Schizosaccharomyces pombe: one gene and its partners. Changing the gene in region 1 together with any one later gene gives a genetic interaction. Each region holds a gene or a part of one and is shown on either strand. Other genes may lie near its edges. The genes, in order: pat1, sec26, rcd1 and cgs1.

Region 1 (5,140 bases):
ATATAAACACATTATGTGGTACAGCCTGTAGACTTTTTATATTTGATAGCATGGTTTGTCGAGTTGTAGGTTTTATTTATTTATTTATTTTTTTAAGTAGACAGCATAGTTTGTGTAATTGATTTTCCATCCATTAAGTTTATTATCCTACTTTTTCGTTTGCACAGAATCTCATTCACTAATACACTCATACATACACACACTTTTTCTTACCCAATCCTTTCTATTTCATTCCTTTACTCCTAGCATTCTTTATAGAAATACATATTCCACTTCATTCACCTATTCATCCATTCATCATTCATCTATCCACTCTATCTTTCTCATTCCTTTCCATTCCTTTACTATATATGCACTACAACTTCATATTCTTATTCCCTAAACAAAACCATAGTGTTCTTCCTTTGCCTCTCTATTCTTTTCCGCTCTTGTTAGCTCTTCACTCAAGCTGACATCCCTCTTCCAGCCCTCCGTCTAACCTTTTTTTCTCCCTGCAAATTAACCTTTTTGTTTCACCATCTCACCATCTTCATCTCGCCTAAAAGGTCTCGCATTCGGTTTCGCCCAAACATAACTTACCGGAACATGCCACCTGCCATCGCTACTCTTCCTGTGGTGTACGGATGATGGTAATGATGCATTCCGTACAATACCCCAAAAAGCTATGAGAAAAAGGTTCCCTATTCCTTTCCAAATTTACTTTTTCTCCCCTGGCGTGGCAAAGTAGCGTAACTCTTCCTATTCCATCTACTAGAACAACTCTTTCGCGTGAGTTACAGTCCCGACCTTCCTTTCCACTTCTTTGTTTACTCGCACCTTCACGCCCTATTAGAGTAAAAAACACTGCCAAAAATTTTATACTATCAAAAAAACGCCATTTTTGTGTACTGCAAGAATCATTACGGTATTTGTAAATTAGCTTCCAAAACGGTTAAACTCTATTAACAAAACACACAGATAACCTCTGTGTACAGCCTAATAAAATTCTCGACCTAGTTCAACTTTCCTATGCCTATCTAAGCTTAACGAATTTTAGAAGCATTGGTTTTTTAAAATATAGCGTTATCTAAAACAGAAAAACTGTATCATCTATTAATGCAACCTAAAGTAAAAAACTATATACATATAAATTTATGAATTTTGTTACAATGTTTACTACATACACTTTACATTCAGTGGAAATTCGTGTAAAGATAATAAATAACAAAGTTTAGTAAAATTTGTCCCCTTACAGGAAACTTATAATTGTATTATTGCTATAATTTAATTGCATCTTCAAACCTAGTTTTCTAATTTCTTTCTCTATCATCCTTTACTAAAATATATCTTTACTTAACTTAACAATATCTTTATTTTTGAAAATATTGTCCAAAAAATATTCTATATACACAACGATATTTGATATAATAATTGCTTAAAAATATCAGTAAAAATATTGTAATATTAGAATTTACAAGAAGATATCTATAAATTTAATTTAATATTTTAACTTTTAACAATATTATTACAAGTTATGAATAATATCCTTCTATCTTCGTATTCCAAAAGCTTAGTTTGCTTTATCTCTTCAACATTTCGAGTATAGCGGTGATACAATATGACTGCATGCTTCATGCTCTAAACTCTTTAAATTTACTATTACAACCGTCGTTAAAACGATCCATTCGTCTACCTTTTCTTTTTTTTTTTTTTAAGTATATATTTATAAAAAAATTTTTGTTTTAAAGAACAAACCACAAGCAAAAAAAATTCATCAATGTTGTTAACAGAAAAAGATAATGCTACCATCATAATAAACATATAAAAAAGAAGAAATATAAGTATAAAACAAGTGCATAAAATGTTAGCTATTTACACAATGTTAAAATTCAAATCCCGAGAAATAATTATTGGGGCAGTCAAAGCCCTCTATAATGTTTTGCAGTAACCCTGAACAAAACAACGTGCGGTAGCGAATATAAAAAAGAAGCAAGTAACTTTAGAGCGATTTTCGAGATGGATCTACGGCATCAGCAGCACGACCAACTGGTGCAGGATGCAAAACGAATCCAGTAAAAGGTATGGGAGTCAGCGGAGGTTGATTAGGATAACCGAAAATTTTTGCATTATTCGGATAGGGTGTGGGTGTAATAGGCATATATGAGTTAGCATTGTTATGGACAGCTGCTGCCGCCGCTGCGGCAGAAGGCCAGAATGATTCGGTTGCATGAATAGGTGCTGTAAGAGGTGTAGTCGGATCTACTTTAAGTGAAGAATTTGGTGTAAGGACTTGTAAGGAGACAGGGATCGTTGGAGTAGCACAATGATTCCAATTACTTACAAACTGGGGAGTCGGAGGCCAGGGAAAGCCAATGTTTTGAGTCGGCATATAGCCTTGATGAGGGTAACCTTGAATTCCTTGTTGCAAATTCATTTGTTGCTGTTGTTGTTGTTGTTGGTATGCGAGATAACGAGATGAAACAAGGGGAGCAGGTCGTAAACGTCGTGTAAGGTTCTTACAGTTTGATACTAGCGTGGAAAGTTCGGGTAATGTGATTCGGGTTTTGGGATTCCTATCAAAAATTCGATTGAGTAGAGAATTGAGCTCTCTACTGATGGGTAAAATGGATAAAAGGGTTGATGGATTGTGAACGTAGGAACGGTAAGTACCATCAGTTTGAGAACATGCACGCTTCCAAGGGTTCCTCTTACAACACAGATTAATTAATATAATTCCCAGAGCCCAGACGTCATTTGGCGCTGTAGCAAAGCTGGATGATTGTGATTCTATAGGTTCAGGAGTTACCGGTAGCATATCTGACAGCGAACTAAGTTTTTTCACCTCCCGTTGACATTCTGGAGACATGTAAAACAGACTACCACATCCAAAGTCACTTGAATAGGGTTCTGTAGTAGCCAGACCAAAATCAGCTAAGTATACGGTGTTTACATCATTTCCAACCATAATGTTTTCGGGTTTAAGATCTCGATGATATATGCCAACTGAGTGACAATGTTCAACAGCAGAAATAAGCTGTAAAAAAACGGTTTTAATTAAATGACTATTCCCTTGATATACCTTTTTCTCCGTGATGTAAGTAAAAAGGTCGCCATTCGGACAATACTGGAGAACGACATAAATGGCGTCTTCCGTTTCTAACACGCGGTGCAATGTAATAATATAAGGATGTGAAGAAACACGAGCATGTAAGGCAAGTTCGCGAGCTTGTAACTTCTTCTGCTTTTCATTTAAGCCATCCTTACATAAAGCCTTTACTGCATACAAGGTACCGTCGTAAATGTCTTCTGCTTTGTACACGACACCATAAGCACCGGCACCGATGATAGAAACAAATCGTAAAGAATCACCCAAGACCTGACCCAAAAGGAGTTCTGGATTTTCGCGCATCATCTAATGTTTAGTAAAGATAAATTAAATAAAGTCCCAATTGATGGCGAAAATTAGATAAGAAAATAGAAAATAAGTATTTCGGATGATAAAGTTTTGAATAGCTTAAAGAACTTTGCAACCGAAACAAAAAAAAAACTTTGAGAAAGGTTAGATTTTCTAATGTCTTCTAAAATCAATGATAAAAAAAACAAAGATCGTTATAAACAGGAAAATAGTCAATAACACAATGATAGGTTTTATCTTGATCGTTTGAGGTTTAATAATATAAGGGAATTTACAAGAAAAAAATTTTTTTTTCAATTGTAAGCAGGTAAAAAATACGACAACGAAGAATGAAAAAGAGAATCGAATACGCCAATCACAGAGAAAACGACCAACATGCAAGAAACAAAATTAATAAAGAAAAGGGGAAATGCAATTGTGGAAGGAAGAGTTAAAACGAATAATATATAATGTTTATGATTAAAAAGCACAGGTCCTTTTGAGTACAACGAATGGAAGTGAGAAGGGAATGTGAATAAAAAACCGGGAAAAATGATGATTAGTATTTTAAGCAGGGAATAAAAAGTAAGAATGCTCAAGATAATCAAAGGAAACTCTAAAGATCAACGTACAAACAAGACACACAACGATTTTCCAAAGGAACAGTAAGAGAAATCGGGAAAATGTACAGGTCAGTAGTCGGTTAAAGATGGGGGAGAAAAGTAGAATTAATTTTTACCTAGTAGTATATCCTTTCCAAATTGAGGTAAAAATGAGAATAGAATGTTCGGTTTAAAAAGAAGAGAGGGGATGAGAAGGAAACACAATCGACAATCAACGCTTGCGAGTAAGTCAATAGACTTAGGTGGAAGAGTTGGACTGGGGAAAAAAGAGATGAGTTCACCTAATGTCAATAAGTATGCACAGCAATATGGATTTGTGAATGTAAAATGAAAAAATCGAGTAATTAAGAAAAGCCGAGAGAAGAGAATTCTTGAAAAGTATTTTCATCAAGCACAAAGGAATTTACAAGAAATCGTTCAGGGTAATTCCCATTTACATTGGGGAAAAGCAGAGAAGTAGTAAGTTTGGATATGGAAAGAAGTATCTATCTCTAATCGAAGAGGCTAGGGGAAAGAACAAAGAAAGGAAAAGCAGACGCGAACAAGAACCAAAGACGAAAGTGAAAAAGAATAAATAAATAAAACAAAAAAAAAATAATAAATTAAAAAAGAGGAAAAGGAAACGCGACTCAAATATGACTAATGCTCGTCGCGATGAGAAATAGTGATTTCTTTGTTAGAAAAACGAGTAAGATGGAAACTTTTAGACACGGGAGATGATAAGAATCCAAGAGGAAGAAGGGAAAACAAATGTAAAAGAAAACGAGGATGGTGGAAGGGAGGATATTAGTAAGAATAAAAAATGGTGGTTAAAGAAAAAATAAAATCCAAATTCGACAATTCAACGTTTGTTTATAGAATTTCGAAGTTTTTAATTAAAAAAAAAATAAAATAAAAAAAATAAGAATACAATCCAAACTTGTGTAGAATGAATAAAAGATAAATTTTTTAATTTTGGTTCGATTTCTAATCAGATAAAAGTAGTGTTTTCTTTATTGCTTTAACACAGTAGACAGCCGAACAACCTGAGTAAGAGTAATCGCGTTAATGACCAGGGGATATGAAAGCTGAAATCGAAATTCTGGAATTGTGGTTAATCACCCACAGGATCCAGCAAGCAAGAACGCTTTTCTAGCTTGCCAAG
Region 2 (6,587 bases), 650 kb from region 1:
ATTCGGCATGCATATTTACTTACCATAAAATCTATTCACTTATGGCCGAACAAGAGATAGGTTAACGACAAGTCCGCACTTACGTGTAGGTTTCTTCTAATACTGAGATAATTGCGTTACGGATCGTTAAAATGAGCGAAATATGAGTTTCTAGGTCAATATTGCCAAAGACCGTTCGAAACTTCAGACCCCAATTATTAAAATTGTACTTTAGCTGAAAATTGAATATACTTTAGCTTTCTGTCGTTTGCTTCATCCATTTTTGGTATTGACATTAAAACAATTACCTAGCCGAAAGAGGCTTGTTATGTAACATACTCGAACGAAACTTATCCAAATGTGTTTTAGGGTAACTTCATTAGGTAAGGTAACGAACACACTAAAGGTATGAAATTTGCGACTAATTATGATGAAGTGATAAACATAACGCGCTTGAATTAGTTAATACTTGATTTGATTATTGTGTGTTCATGTAGTCGATAAGATGAATTAAATGAACATGAATTTTCAATTATGAATATTTTAAGTCGAAGATACCTTTCATAAAGCGAGAAGTTTTGAAGTATTTTAGATATAACGGCTATCGCCGTTTCAAGAACCAAAGCAGCCGCAGATTATTATAACGCGACATAAAAGGTTGAATTCCCCAGCAAATACAACTGTAGTTCTCGTATTGACCTTGAGTATATTCTATGACAATTAACTTATTACAGATATTAGGATGTAACACAATATGAGAGAAGCTATATGATTTGCAGTAACTTAAACATAATCATCTGTTTATATCATTTATAAAAGAATACAAACAGTGATTTATAGACAACGTTTGTGAGTGCCATAATTAATTGAAATAACGGGGTTTATATATAATACCAAACTAAATGCACGAGATGAAAGCTAATCTACTTGCCTGTTACAGAGAAATACAAGGTACACAACTTTAGTAATGTCAGGATATCAAGTAGTGAGAACATGACAAGGCAGGCTCCTTTTAATTGCGAAATCGTAGAAATATCATAAGGAGCTAAATAAAGAACGGCAGGAAAGGTATTTACAACAAGAGTAATAAAACAGCGTATCAGATATCGATTTAGCGAAATATTAGACACATGATATACCTACTAAATCAGCATCCATAACAGCTTTCCCATTGTGAATTTAATCCATCAAGAAATTTAAAGAGTGGATAACATTCCTTATATAATTCTACTCTAAACAAATGCACCCAAGCTAAGGGCAATGCCTTGAGTTTTTGAACGAATGCGAACATGTCCTGAGATAGGACCGGAGACGGATTTTTCAACGCTAAGACTCATAAGTGCGTCTTCCCCAAAAATACTGCAGGCGTACAAATTAGCACTCAAAAAACCACAGTCACCACGCAGAGACGCGTCTGGAGTAAGACAGTTCATATTGGTTTTCTTCATTATTTTATGTAAGAAATCGTACAGACTAATGTCTTCGTTGGAAGAAATATCGACCTTGTTTTCCCATTCAAATTCCGTCCACATGCTACGGAATTGAGATTCGGGAATGAATGCGGGTTTTATATAATCAATAATGTTGACTGGAATGCCATTCAAAACAACAATTTTGTCTTCGTCGGATGCTTTACCACCATACACGATATTTCCAAAGATTACTGCAGACTCCGTTGAAGATACCTTTACCGTAGCCTGAACAGATTTAAAGGCATGAGGTCCTAAATTCATGGGTGGTGGACGCTCTACAACCTTAAGATCTCCCAACGTAGCCAAATCAACAGAGAGATTCTGTAACGTGGTATCCGTTCGATTAACCAATAATATGTCTAGAATAATATCAAATTGTTGTATCTTCACATATGCCTCACAGTAAACAGGATCTGTAAAACCGGCTAATTGTACGATATGATCTAATTTAGATGCCAAATCTTCCACTACCATACCATCGTTGGTGGCTTGTATGATGTCGGACTCAAAATTAAGATCCTGCTTTTCTTCAATGACCCTTTGAAATTGGCGAATATTCAGTAGCTCATCGGCTTGAACAGCATCACTTCCATTAACTAACAAATCTGCCTCCTTTTGTCGCTTGTCTGATTGAGCAACAAGTGATGAAAATGCTTTTCGCATATCATCAAGAAACACCGTTTGGAATTCAGGAAGCTCTTCAAAGGAATATATGGCCCTGATACAGTTCATAATACGCTCAACAGAGTCATCATCAATGGTATATTTTACAAACTTGGACTGACCCACTCGAATTATAGATGTCATAATAAGACATGCTTCAGCTTTGAGAGCGTTCAATCGTTCTTTGTCGAAAGAAAGTCGAGCAAAACGCATCACAAGCTTTGTAAGAGCAGAAGCTAAAACAGCAGCAAGATAGTAATCACCACTCAAAATCTGTGTGCGCAACGGTGGCTTTTTTGAAGCTTTGACAGCCTCCAAACGAGCAGCACTTAAAGCTTCACTAGTGACTGCACTCTCGGTAGCGTAGGTTCCATCAGGAAGGACCTTTCGACTTGTTGAAGCCGGAGCAGATATATCAATAAGCAAATCGTCCTCAGGTACATTGGAAACGTCTTTTAAAAGTTGCTCCTCTGACGCCAAAATTGGAACTTCTCCAAGGCTTGCTCTAATACTCTTCCACGCAACGCGTATATCGTCCTCAGTTAGACAGTACTCGCCAGCAATCCATATTACACCACGGAAAATTTTACCAGCACGAAGCTCTTTCAAAGAGAGCAGGAGCTTAGTAATATTTGATGATCGGAGATCCGGGAATTTTTCCATGACCTCTTTAATAAATGATAAAACACTAGAAGCGGATTTGCTTTGAAAGTCCGATATATGGCTGAGTAAGTATTGGATAGCAGTAGCAGCAGTGTGAGGGAAGTTAATAGCACAAGAATGAATAGCCTTCGTAAGAGCACGACGGCGACCATCATCCTTTTCAGTTTCTCCATTCGATTTAGTAAGTTCCTTTTGAAAATGGTTAAGTATGTCTTCAACGTTTCTGCTAGAAACTAAGCCCATAATGATTGAGATAGCTTTCTCACAGACATCAAAATCTGAACTAGAAAGGAATGGAATCACATCTGTTATGAGGTCTTCTAAGATTGATTTATCACGGGCCGCCAATTGAGAAATACGATCCAGCATAATTAACTTGGCGTTATTGTCGGCTTCGCGATCTGCTAGTGCTAATAGACGAGACGCAGCGAGCTTCAGAGACTCCGCATCGGGAAATACATTAATAACTGAAGTAGCTGCCTCGAAAACTACACTACTATTGTTTGTGGCAGTCAAGGATACCAAAAGAGATTGGAATCTAAGTTTTTCGAGACCATCAGCTTTCGTTAAAACGACTTTACGAATAAATTCAATGATAACGAGAAGGGAAGAAGCGTTCAGAGAGGGAATTTGCTCAAAATTTGCCAAAAGCCAAGCTTTAGCTTTTTCGGGATCGATAGTAAACAAAACTATTAAAGCATTTCGTTTGCAAGTTCCCTCAGACTCAGCTGCAAGGAAGTCCTCGGCTAAACTGGCAGCGTCAGGAATGAGATGATTAGAGACTTGATATATGCTAAAGACGGCAAGAATAGCATTTTTACGGACATAGGCATGACGATGTTCTAAGCATTGGCGGACGGTTGGGATTAAGGGATCCAAAAGCTCTGGCTCTTTCAATTTACAAAGAAATCGTAAAGTAGCTCCCCGAATGAACTCATTAGGATGTTGCAAGTCATTGCGAAATGAGTTACAAGCTAAGATCATTTCTTGTTTCATAGTGCCATCGTTGTTATACTTAGGACAAACTTCCCAGTAATAGTACAAAAGCTTTTTCAGTTCTTTATTTCTGGAAGGCATTACAAATCGAATCACGTGCATTAAAATGGAAGGAAGAGAATCCCCGTTAATTACGACCCGCAGGATTGTCTTCATGGCAGATATCTTGACATAATCATTTTTGGACTCTAACGAGGTTTTTAGAGCATCAACAGATGGAGCTTCTAAAAAATCCTGTTGAACAAGTGTCCAACAAGACATATTTGCTGCTTAAGGTATGGTGACGGCAAAACCAACCTGATGTTTGTTGAAAGCAGGTGTTGTATAGCCAAGGTAGAAAGCTTAGAGGGGTGGTAAACATAAATTTTATCAGCTGCAAAAATTATATATATAGATAAACTAATAAAAAACTAATTTATTCTTTCAAATTCTTATTTTGAATGAAATCGAAAATCATATATCTCAGTGCCTACACATACAATAATTTGTATACTGTATGTTTCAACTTGCACAGATACTTCTATTAACACATCGCTGTACTTTTAGTGTACTGCATTAAAAAGCACTGTTAGTTGCAGAAATGATTGCAAAACCAGAGGAAACAGACAAGCACTTACTATAATATTTGTAAGGATAAAACAGTTTCTATTAAATTAAAAGGACCAAATGAGGGAGAAAATTTATACAGCATATTAGGGCACATTAATATGAAGACGCCCAAGAAATATATAAGTGAACAGACATTTGATTCGATCTATATTTTTGCGTCCGCAAAATCTTAAAAAAAGTACTTTAAGTATACTTGATGTGTATCTTTTATAGGAATCGTGTATTTTTACTAGTGACTTAAAGTTTATCATCAGTTGCAACTCATACTAGCGTATGGCGCTTTACAATAAAAGAAGGTGATTAATTTGTTATAGGGTCAATTTTATATGGCAGTTGAAGTTTTCACTGGTGAAGTGAACTACCCTTCTAGATATTGCAAATATACGTCTTTCACTTTAGAAGCTTTAGGATAGAAGGTATCAATTGACATCTAATTATATAAAGCATCAATTTCATTAAAAAACGTTTAACACCGAATCATAAAACATCAAAGAGAAAACATACAATAAAATATCAAAGTATCAATAAAAAGCGAATAAGAAAGCAAGATATTTGAATAAAAACATAAATTCAATGGAACTGATGAAATTCATATTCAGTACTCGCTTTTGACCATAAGCCTACTGTATCACGAAGTCGCTTTTTCAACTTAATAGTCTCAGCAGGACTAAACGTTATACCGTATCCCTTAAGATATTGGACACACTGTTCCTTTGACAATTCGTCAATGTCTTCGACTCTTTCTATCGGCGGTAATCCACTACTAACCGGCTCATTACCATTCAGAAATGGTACTGGTGACGCCAAATAACCTTGGTCTGAACGAGTTGCATTTTCAAGCTTTCTTGTCAACATGATCGACCTACATGAGCGAGCATCAATTGTTTCCATTTTCTGATCCATTGAGTCAAGTCGCTGCTCCATAGAGTCAAATCGTTGGTCAATAGAATTAAATCGCTGCTCTATTGACTGAAACCTTGCTTCAGTTTTTTGTTCGAGTAAATCAATTCTAGTGTTCAAACGGATCGTTTCCCTTTTCATTTCAACCATTTCAACTTTCATTTCGGCCATTTCGCCTTTCATAGATGTCATCTCATTCTGCATAGCGTCAAACCGAGAATTCATGTCATTTTGCATTGAGTCCATTTTAGAAAATATTCGTTCGAAAATTCCACCTAGTTTAGTGTTTGCCCATTCATCTATCCAGCGTGGAAATTGTACTTCTCCCGATTGTTCTTCAGAAATTTCCCTTTCAATCGCTAACTTTTTCCATCCTTGTAGCCTTTCATTGCATTCAATTTCATATTTCATTTTACGATCTCATTCCTCAATATATTTTTTTCAAGTGCTTCTCTTTTGTTTTCGTCAATTTCTAACAATGTAGAATCTACAGATCTCTCGTATCTTTCAATGAAAATTTTTAAATCTTCCGCAGAATCATTTGGTGGTGGCAGATTGTAGTCATTATCAAAATTCTCGTTCGACATCATCCTTATTATTTATACAAAACCAGTTGCAATAAACCGCAGTATTCTTTTTAACGATAAAATTTCAATTCACTATAACTATACAAATGATATCTTTTGTAGCCTGCCTTATATGTTTACTAATTGACAAATATTTCTCAGAAAGGGAAATCTTGGAAAATAAAAGTACAAACGTGTGTTGAAAGCAATATTTAATATATGTGTTGTAAGTAAATTCAAATCTCTCAAGTTCCCCTTATATACAACTTTAAACAAAGAATGCTAAGGACAAAGAAAAGAGTTTTTGATGGATTAAGAAACAAGGTAACCTAAGTAACTTCACACTGGGAGTACGTGATACAGATAATGAAAATGGGCTTTATCTGTAAAATAAAAGAAAAATGGCTTATTTGCAGGTAACTTATTACAAAGTTAGATTTATTGAATAGAGGAGTATTTGTTTAAAAACAAACTTCGATTGCAAACATGCATAACAAAGTTAATAGAAAAACATTTCTTTATCCTGCTTTATTGTATTCCTCTTAAGGGATTCTCAACAGCTCTAAATAATCACGAAATATTTAAAGAAAAGGTATATTACTCATTCAAGCTATTAATTGTAAATAATATAACCCATAGCTACAACAAATGCGTTAAGAGGATATAATGTTAGCTACGCAAGTATTTAATTTAACGATACGTAGAACTACGGTGTTTTCCTAGTGATCTATTATATTGT
Region 3 (3,895 bases), on another chromosome or scaffold:
TTAGGTTTGCCAACACAAAGCTTGATATGCAGCCAGACCCTGTACATAAATCGAGAATCTTTAACGGTTTTAATCTCTCGAGTCGATTTAGCTTATCAACCACACGTTCAACCCATTCTTCTGTTTCCCAACGAGGTATTAAAACTCCTTGTTGACAATCTATCTTGATATTACCAAAAGGTTGACTTTTCAGTATATACTGAAGTGGATAGTTTCTTGCTCGAAGTTGACAGGCATTTACTATCTTTTTTCGCAACCCATGTTTGCTAATTTCTGGATACAGCAGCTTTAATTCCTTGCATATCCACGTCCACTCTCTTTTAGCCAAAGATGGATCTCTTGTGGCATGATAAAGAGGGAGTAGGCAAGGGTTTTCTCGATATAAAGCAAATTTAGTAATTCTTGGTAGTCGCATATGACAAACACTATAATTAGGAGGACAAATTATCTCAAATTACTTTTATCTGATTATTTGCTTGAATGAAGTATAGCAGAATTAACGAACGTAAATATAAATCAAATTCTGTTGTCTATTGTACGAATTCTTTAAATTTATTAGAGGTAATCGATGAAACTGAATTGAATATTGTAGAAATAGTATAAGTATATATGATACGAAATAGGAAAAAAGGTGTTTTGGTTAAAAACATTAAATGCGTCGGCGAATGTTATATCTTTTTCTATTTTTTTTTTTAAATTTTGCTGACTCGTAAAAATCATCATTCGTGACGCATTTTAAGGAAAGATTAAGAGAAAAGGATATGAAATCCTGAATCTAACAATTGTAAGCAAAATTAACAGTAAACCCCTGATTTCCTTAAAAAAGCCATCAGAGTAAGTTCTGTCCTGAGGAATAACTTGAGCACATTAAGAGGAGTGAAAAATGACAGGGCAAAAATAATAATAAAGGAAGATATAAGAAAGACACAAGAAAAAATTGGTGACGGACGAATAACACAAAAAATCGCCATATGCCAATCACTTACGGTCACAAATTATGATTGAAAGTAAACCAGATAGGAAACGAAGGGCAGATATTGAAATAATTAATTCAACATTTAAGAAAAGTTTTTTAAAAAAAAAAAAAATAACGATTACTGATTAACAACGGCGACGTCTGATAAGTTGATTAACAATTGGGCAAGACATTTTTTAGTGTTGTGATCATCCTTTAAAACCTGAGCAAAGGTAGCATCACGTAAAGGTTCTGGTAGACAGTGTCTTAGAGCTTCTCTGGCGCGAGGATTGTCACTAAGACGAAGATAGCAACGAATAACATGCTTTAGTAAACGAAAAGCAAAAGAGTCTACAAGCTGCATTACCATGTTGTTCAAAACCGACGCAACTGCATAAAAGCGTTCATATGTTTGACAAATATATTGAAGACCAACGTCGTCACATAAAAATTTTTGTACGATGAAAATCGCAACGGTTTTTGATAATTCAGAACCGTTCTCCATGATTCTGAGACAAAGAGGAATAATTTCTGTAGATAATAAAAAGTTGATTACTTCTGGAGAGTCATTTTTAACTAATGCACCAATCACCCCTAAACTAGTAAGGCGCAGGTATTCAAAAGGTTTGGATTTTGAAAGGGTATTCAAAAACGGGTATAGAAATAAAGTAATGTGTGCATTTAAAAAGTGGATTCTAGTTTCAGGATGAGAAGCGATACACTGGAGTAAAGCTAGCGCGTTGCACACTCTGTTACTAGTTGGTCCTGTAAGTGTGGGTGGATTTAAAAGAGGATAAACGCTGATAATTTCTTGCAACAAAGCCGTCATCACACCATATGAATGCCATAAAATAAGAGCCAAATCTTCATACTGTTCTCGTTTACGAGATAGTTCGACAAGAGCTTGTTCGCGAGATGTCCCAGAAACAAGTTGAATTATCCATTCATAGACAAGTGCTGGTTCATAATTAGGGGATTCCAAGTTTTCCATTTTTTCTAGAATGCGGGAAAGAAATAAAAATGCTATAGTTTATTGTCGAAAAGAATAAAATAAAGAATAATAATTTTATAGCTGCCGGAACTAAAGAGCAACACCTAACGAATTTGTAGTTCAATCCAAAGGATAGAATAATGCACTAAAAGGTAAAGAAAAGGTATTAACGTTAAACGACAGTCAGTAAAGTGCTGAGTGTCGAGAAAATGATAAAGCTTTTAAAATTTTAATGGAATTTCAGTCCTCGTGCTATGCGTGCCAAACAGTATCAACTTGCACAGCAATACTGGACTTAAATAATTTAAAATACAACAATCTTATAAACCTGAACTGCAAATGCTGTTCCGTAGATTTCGCGTGAGAGCAATGGACAAGCACAGTGTTGGCAGGGAATAGCAAACCTACCGCACTGCGCGTTAGAAAAATGCAAGATACATTACTGAGTAATAAGGAGAATCAAATATTTTTAAAGAAAAGTGGGCAAAACGCATTTAGAAAAGGTATTTAACCATTCTTAGCTCGCTTCTAATAGAAGCTATAAAATAACAGAGATATAAGAAAAGGAATTTACCTATGTTATATCTTTGAAAGCCTTTTTTAAAAGTTATTTCTAACGCTTTTGTAAATACTACTTTTCTAAAGATTTGTAAATACATATTCATACCGAATGCGTAACCGTTGATGTTTGCTAATTGCACATCATTTACACTTTCATCAAGAGTAATTTAGTATTCAAACATATAATAACTTGAGCCGTTTCTTCTTCAATAATTGCGTTAATGTTTGAATAGCTTTTTTGTTTACTATATTTACCCTTACGAAGAATTATGAACAACATTCACGAACAATTAATATAGCGTAGTATAAGGATGTATGCTATTCTGCTTCTGACTTTAATCTCTCGATACTGACTGGCGCCATCAACAAACTTCCTACCATTTTCTATATCCTTGTGGTTGATTGTTTTTTATTTGAACCTACCTATTATTATTTTCGATTACTGTTTGTGAAATTTTGGTTGACCATTTCTCATGGAAAGCTAGGGGCCAATTTTTTTCCTACAACTTTGAGCATTGTTTTATCCTCCATTTATTGGTATACTTTGCTGCCTATTTTTCGTTTAAAAAATAAGCTAAATTTTTCGTCTTAGTAATATAATATTGGGCACTAACGTATCAAGGAATGGATATTGAATCAGACCACGAGCCTAAGGAGTCTTCTGTTGATCTTGAAGGACGGCATGATTCTATACGCAAGTCTTTTGAAGCTGACGATATTGATGTGACAGATGAAAACACCATTTTTTCTACCTCTAGAAAAGAACAAAGCACAATTGAACCTATGGATTCCTTTGTTGAAAACAACATAGCCAATAGCTCCTCTCAACAGTCAGTTTCAGAAATTGACATTCAGTTGCCTTCCTCTGAGCCTAAAGAAGGTGTTAAAGAAGAAAGCAACTTAATAGAGAGTAATTCTTTGGACAATGTGCAGGAAATTAATCCTCAAAATACCATTGGCGACAAATCGGCTCACACAGAAGAGGAGTCTTCAAATGATAACTTGGTAAAAATTACTGCTGGAACCATTATTTCTGACATAATGGATGAGCCTGTTGTGGATGAAGACGATAAACTCTCTGAAGAAGACTTGAGCAAGGAAGACTTAGAAACGACTCTTAAGGGTGACGAAAACTATTCATCGTCGCAAAAAGAAATATATGATAATGATGAGACAATTCCTAAACCACCATCTCCAGAAGTCGAAAAGATAGAAACTAGTACTTCAGTTGAGAATGCATACATTACGAACTCTCAATATAATGACACTCTTGATATGGAAGATCAGACATCTGATTTAATTACAACTTTTGAGCATGAAAATGAAGACCATGAAGTCCACGAGGTTCCTTCCATTCACGGAATGGAAGGGACTTTTGAAACCGTAAA
Region 4 (6,254 bases), on another chromosome or scaffold:
ATGCCACTAGCACTAGCTCTAGCACTGGTTGTTGCCTCATGCGTCACACCTCCCTGGCCAAGGGCGATGGGCGATTCTTCTTCCACCGTTACTGTGGTGGTATGGGGGATGACATCTGCATGTGGAATGTCGCTCGCATCCTCGAAAACCGTCTCTTGCTGAACGTTTTCACCAATGCTTTCAAGTACGTTATCATTCATAATTCCATCGGCCACTGCATGTGACTCAGCAGTGGCAGTAGTAGAGGCAGAGGCAACTGCTGCTGTTGTCGTAGCTGCTGCCTGATCATGCGTAGTATTTATTTCTTTCGATATCATAATAGCTTCAGGCTCAATGGGCTTCAATTCTGGAATTTCTTTCTCAGCGGTAGTAATGGGTTGTGAAGTAGCTTTCGCCATGTTTTCCTCTACTTTCGAAGAAGGTTGCGCAGCAGATGTCGTTGCTGGCTTAGACGTAATCGAAGCTGGGGAATTACCGAGTTGCTCGTCATTGCGCTGGGGTGCGAAATGTTCGGCTACGACGTAATCAGCGGATTGTGTGGTTGCAGTAGACTTTGTAGAAGCGGATGAGGAGGAGGAGGAAGGGGAATTGGCGGGTTCGGTAATACTTGTATTGCGTGCTTCCGTAGTTGGCACTGCTGTTGACGTGGAGGCAGAGGGTTTGTTGTCAGTAGGCGGCTCTACAGTACCCAGAGCTGAGGATGCTATGGGTTCCAAAGGCTCGTCAACCTGATCAGCGTCTTTCTCCACTATAGTTTGTGTAAATCCTGGCTCTTGTAATATGGTTTGTTCTTGTTGTTCCTCTTGCGCGTGCTGAGCTTCTTCCACAGGTGTGGAAGAGGCAGATGCTGCTGCTGACTGCTTCTTCTTTTTTGCAGCCTTCTTTTTGGCGCGTTTAGCGGCCTTCTTCTTGTTATCCTTGGTGACGGACGCCTGGGAAGAATTGTTATTCTGCTCGACCGCGTTGGTACTTTTCGAATCCAGCTTCTCCTGGACTCTCGACGTTACTTGGTGAATTTCATTTTTCGTCTGTTTAACAATATCGGGATTCGTGGTCATATTCAACTCAATTTTTGTTCTACTTTTACACGCTCTGCGTTCTTGTTTGGTGGTTGGTAGAAGTTGTAAATCTTGGCGTAACTAGAATTTATACGAAACCCTGTTATGTGAGTGAAAAAATGCATATGTAAACAAAGTTAATTCAGACGAAAGTAAGACACAAAACAAAACATTTCTTTACCAAAACATTGCTTCGCTGATCATCTTCTTAATATTACAATTTATCTCGAGTGCTTAACTTTATTCTGCAGTAATTGTCATTTCTACCCGTTGTGCTTGTTGTGAATAACCTACCCTACTAAGAACATTCACAGTAAATATGTAGTATGGAATATGGGGAAAAAAATTTTTCTTGTTTAAGAAAACCTTACGCATAGTTCGCAACTGTAGTCGTTTTTTTATTTATTATGTTCGCAAGAACATTGAATGTACGAAATTGAGTATTCTTTAAAATTTTTTGTATCCCATTTCGTACGGATTTGATAATTGAATAAAAGTCCTTTCGCTTTTTGCTGAATTTATTTGTCTAACAAGATATTCGTTTTATAAGTTTTTTACACAATTTGCATTCTCCTAGTTACACGTATCGTTTATCGCAGACTGTAGTTTCATCTAATTTGCACCCCTTTACTCAAAACTTGGTAAAAATTTTGTGTATTGTATTAAAAAACTATTCTCAATTCTTGATATTAGTCAATTTCTCATAAAATTTTTAAAGTTATGTCACGTAACTACAAAAACCGAGAACTCACTCAGTTTGCATACAAAACATCCACACTCTTGAATTTTTAACACTTCATCCCTTTCCCCACGTCTAGCGTCTGCCTAAAGCTTTCTAAGTATTTCATGCTTGCAAGTGTTTACGGACCACGGTAATTCTTGTATAATGTGCGTTACTCCAATGCCAAGTACATTATTGAATGCAGCTGCTGTTTTGAAGAGTGTGTGATTATTCAAAAAACAAATATAAGAACTCTCCATATAGATAGAAATATTTGACGATATCAAATATCGATTAAAAAACAAAAAAAAACAGGATGAAGAGAACGATAAAATAACTGTCATGATCCGTACGAAAAAAAAAACACAAACTAAACGGTAAGCTTCCAAACATCAAATGCTGCGATATTCGACAGATAAAAATAATAAAAAAAAAAGGAAATTTCAAAAAGAAAAAAAAAAACAAAATAAGAACAGTGAAGTGGTAATCACGAATATAATTGGAATTAAAACATTAACAAACCATATCCAGTGCCATGCTAGAACAAGACATAAAGGTTTTCAAAGAAATAAAAAAGAATAATACGTATATATACATTATCACATATAATGCTGAATTAGATAAGTAATCCAAACAAAACATGTTCAACATGAATAAGTAAATTATTCCAGGGATAATGGTAAACAATCACATGCATGCATGACCAATATGAAAAAGTTAGAAGGCAAACAAACAACAGGGAAATTCTTTAGCATATCATGACAGGTCATTATTACAAAGATAGTTTCAAAGAAAACAGATTATAGAAATTTTATGCTTTAGTTGATGGAGGTGACCTATGAAGAGATTGGTCACCATACTCATTATCCATTCCCATCCTGGCACGAGGTTGATTACGCATCAAATCGATCGCGTTACCAAGTAGTCTATTAAATGTAGGTTTATCAAATGTAGCAAGTTTCAGGCGAGTTTTTGCCTGTACCGTCGCATTTCTCACTGTTTCGTGAATTAAAGCTAGTTCACCAAAGTAATCTCCCTTGGTTAGGGTAACGACTACGCCTTTGCCATTCTTCACTACTTCAGCCTCGCCATCCTCTATCAGATAAAACTGGTTACCAATGTCGCCTTGTCGAATAACGATGCTACCGGCTTGATACACGACTGTCTGAAGAGCATCGGCAATTTTTTGTCGTTGATATTTGTCAAGGCTTGAGAGAATGGGAACTTCTTCAAGGAGGCTTTCATACAGCATCCTCTGGCGATATGCGTTTTCAAATACGATACGACGGAAACTTGTACGATCTAATGCGTAAATTACATTATTTGGTGTTTTGGAGACCACCGATGCAGCTCGTGGAGCATTATACATGAGTGCCAACTCTCCAAAATATTCACCGGGAGAAATCGTAGTTATGTAGTTACCATAACCACTCGAAAGCACTTCTTCAGGGGTAATATTTAGTTCGGGCCTTTTGTATACATCGAATTCACCTTGCTCCACAATATAAAAGTAATCTCCAACTGCTCCTTGGACAATGACAGCAACACCAGCCTCTCCAATCCGTTTTTCAGTCATAGCGTTCAGAACCTCGTTGTAATGTTCTTCATCCAAATTCTTAAACAAAAAGTTCCCAGCAACTGAGCGCTTTAGTCTTTTCAAATCTTCAGGATCCTTCGGAGGAAAGGTTCGTTTGGTCTCTAGTGCAAATGCACTAGGATTCATCGACTCAGTGGAAACAGATTGGCGACGCAACAGATTGTAGTTTTGCGGATATGAAACGTTCATTTCTTTTAATCCTCCCAATTCAGGAACGTATTTGGCATCCGGACCAATTGCCTCGGGGCCAGCAACCATATCGTTGAGCTCAGACAGGAAATCGCTTTCATCTCCGTCGCTAAAAGACTCTGTAATGGTGTCGCCTAAAAGAGAAATTTGTTAACATGATAAAACAAAAAAGGGTAAAATTTGTGTAGTATAGAGTGGGAGATTAAATGGGTACAGGGTCCTTAAACAACTTTGTGGAATTATTAACAGCCAGGAATCATAATTGCTGTTTGCTGACTAAATTTAGAAAATACTTACTATAGAGCAAAACAAAGTAAAAAACCACAAAAAAGAACCCATATTGACCATCATTTACTTTTCCTCTCCACTAAACATAGCTATCCAGAAGCATCTACTTACCTCGACGAAATACTGAGCGCTCAGCTTTCAGCTTTTCTCCAAAAAAGTCATAGCAAAATTGAAGTACATCTGAAGGATTTTGCTCATCAACAAGGGCTTTTAGCTCCTCATATACTTCTTCGAAAGACATGTCTCCTAAAGTTTACGTGCCTTTCTTTCAAAAAATGCGGTTTTTTGTTTCTTACTCTCAGTGAATCACAATCTCGCGGTTTTTGTTCGCTTCAGCTTTTCCTGACACTTTAATCAACCACAAGAGGTAAATTTTCCAAAATAAAAGAGCTGAATTCAGCTATACAAATCAGTTATTTACCTTCGTTTGTTACGGTTGAGATGTATGTTTAAAGTCTACCTGAGGCGTTGGACTAAAATGGATGGATGCCTGCATTAGCTCACTCATACGTCATAAAATGTACTACGCAATGCCCTGACTCCATAATATGGGGTTTATCGAAGCGCATAAAAAAATAGAGAGTAGAATGTTTGACGATGCAACATAGCTTGCGTTTTCCAGTGTTTCGGTATATTATTTTGTGAAGCTTCTTGTACATCCGTGAGTTAAGTTAGTTAAGAAATGAATAGTGAGCGGTCTATGGAAAAGTGATATGATAAATATACATCTATAGTAAGAAATTAGAATCGCTGAATATGAGTTGTTTGTTTTCAAAACAAATTCAATGTAACTTTTGAAGTCTATCAGATCAGAGAGCTTGCCCGACAGGATTACAACAATAATAGTTTTGGTCTTATTAAAAGTGCTATAAAAACAATCATTGAAGTAAATATGCTTTCTGTATTGGCTAAACAAAGGTTTCAATGAAAACGTAAATAAGGAATCGCTAATGTTCACAGATAACAAAAGCGAATCCTCCATACCCTTCCTGCTTTGCTATTAACTTTTTCGACAAGAAAACGAAAATGCTTATTAAATGAAATAAAACCAGACGGCAATTTATTATGTAAAGTATTAACTAAGGTAAACATTAAACACATGAGAAATAAAAGTAGAAACCACCCAAAGACCAAGTTGTGCAATCACTGTCAAAAAAAGAAAAATGAAACAGCTTATGCATGCTGGTAAGTGTAATTTTCGGCACTAATGTATTAATTAAGAAGTCATCAACAACGTTACGTGCATGAGCATTAGTAAATTCAGGTATAAGAGGATGATGTCTCGTCCAACGGTCGCTTTACTCCTCGTAAAGCGTCGCTTGAGTTTGATGGTAAATTCATGCCCCTTACTGAAGATGAGTCGTCAACATTGTTTCCGTTCTTTGCATTAGTATCAAAAGATCCATTTTCGTTTTCCATTATATCTCTTTTACTAAAGCTTGATGCATTTCCAATGGAATTCATCCTTTGTCCTTGATTGCCTGTTTCAACTCTCTCTAAAGTATCATTAGGCGAAGAGTATAAAGGCCGATCAGAAGTGAATGGTTTGTTTATTGGTATGGTGTGTAGATTTTGATGGCTTGTTATCTCTGATTTGCTTTCAGAAGCAGTGGAGTTGTACGACGATGATCGAACTGACGATGGCCCCGCGGACACATTAGCCATTGCTCCTGGGGGTAACGGGTCTCCAATACTCTGGCGTGTATCTGGTAACTTCGAAGGAGCAGATGGCCTAACATATGGAGGTGGTCCAACGTTTACTGCAGGACGTTGAGTGACTGAGATACTAGGAGACGGTGATGTTATGTTAGGGTGCGGCATTGCAGTCGGCGCCGGATTAAGTTGCTGTGAAGTATAAGCTTTACGACGCTTTGCCTGTTGTTGCACTTGTTGGGGCCCTTGCATTTGCGTTTGCTGCTTTTGAAGTTTTTGGGCTAAAGCCACAGCGAGAGCATTCGCAATCGCTGTGGCTTGCTCCGGGTTGTTGGCAGCGGCAGGTCCTAGCTGCTTATTAATGTGCTGTTGGAGTAGTGAAATTGCTTGAACGGCTTGCTCGTTGGGAGCCTGTTGCTCTCCATTTGCATTCTTGAAAAACTCGGGGTTCAAAGCAAGTTTCCCATCGCGCATAATGATAGGTTGAATGCCATTTTGAAGTAAGGATTGTGGTCGATCCTCTACATTTTCTCCTCGGGAAGTATGAGTTTTACTACGACTAGTTTCTTTTTGCGGATTAAGCTGTTCGGTTTTTCCAGCTGATATACCCTTTGTCTGGATAGCGGCTAATTCATTCTCCCTAGCAGTATCAGGATGAGCAGCTGGTGTAGCAGAAGGGGTGGGCTTTTTTGTTCTTCTAAAGAAATTACCCTCAAATTGATCTATGTAAGAGGGGTCAAGCATCCAA

The links.
Region 2: of pat1 (region 1) and sec26, changing one suppresses a phenotype caused by changing the other (phenotypic suppression), as found in Schizosaccharomyces pombe (one study listed by BioGRID).
Region 3: of pat1 (region 1) and rcd1, a mutation in one rescues a mutant of the other (synthetic rescue), as found in Schizosaccharomyces pombe (one study listed by BioGRID).
Region 4: of pat1 (region 1) and cgs1, changing one suppresses a phenotype caused by changing the other (phenotypic suppression), as found in Schizosaccharomyces pombe (one study listed by BioGRID).

The regions. Positions count from the first base shown.
Region 1 is NC_003423.3:1,681,112-1,686,251, reverse strand, and holds pat1 (serine/threonine protein kinase Ran1/Pat1), read right to left. Parts: upstream 3,392-5,140; coding exon 1,979-3,391; 3' UTR 1,697-1,978; downstream 1-1,696. UniProt on the Schizosaccharomyces pombe protein: This protein is a negative regulator of both sexual conjugation and meiosis. It phosphorylates mei2. It blocks the onset of meiosis until conjugation takes place.
Region 2 is NC_003423.3:1,027,905-1,034,491, forward strand, and holds sec26 (coatomer beta subunit Sec26), read right to left. Parts: upstream 4,035-6,587; coding exon 1,212-4,034; 3' UTR 974-1,211; downstream 1-973. Other genes in the region: myosin I myo1, read right to left, coding at 24-26. UniProt on the Schizosaccharomyces pombe protein: The coatomer is a cytosolic protein complex that binds to dilysine motifs and reversibly associates with Golgi non-clathrin-coated vesicles, which further mediate biosynthetic protein transport from the ER, via the Golgi up to the trans Golgi network.
Region 3 is NC_003424.3:5,416,866-5,420,760, forward strand, and holds rcd1 (CCR4-NOT complex subunit Rcd1), read right to left. Parts: upstream 2,309-3,895; 5' UTR 1,947-2,308; coding exon 1,095-1,946; 3' UTR 501-1,094; downstream 1-500. Other genes in the region: mtq1 (S-adenosylmethionine-dependent methyltransferase), read right to left, coding at 1-415; multidomain vesicle coat component Sec16, read left to right, coding at 3,132-3,895. UniProt on the Schizosaccharomyces pombe protein: A differentiation-controlling factor that is essential for the onset of sexual development. Induces ste11 when sexual development is invoked through nitrogen starvation.
Region 4 is NC_003424.3:3,641,079-3,647,332, reverse strand, and holds cgs1 (cAMP-dependent protein kinase regulatory subunit Cgs1), read right to left. Parts: upstream 4,305-6,254; 5' UTR 4,095-4,304; coding exon 3,965-4,094; exon of another isoform or gene 3,700-3,964; coding exon 2,591-3,699; 3' UTR 1,697-2,590; downstream 1-1,696. Other genes in the region: SPOM_SPAC8C9.04 (uncharacterized protein), read right to left, coding at 1-1,058; SPOM_SPAC1142.09 (uncharacterized protein), read right to left, coding at 4,488-4,835; DNA-binding forkhead transcription factor for ribosomal proteins Fhl1, read right to left, coding at 5,114-6,254.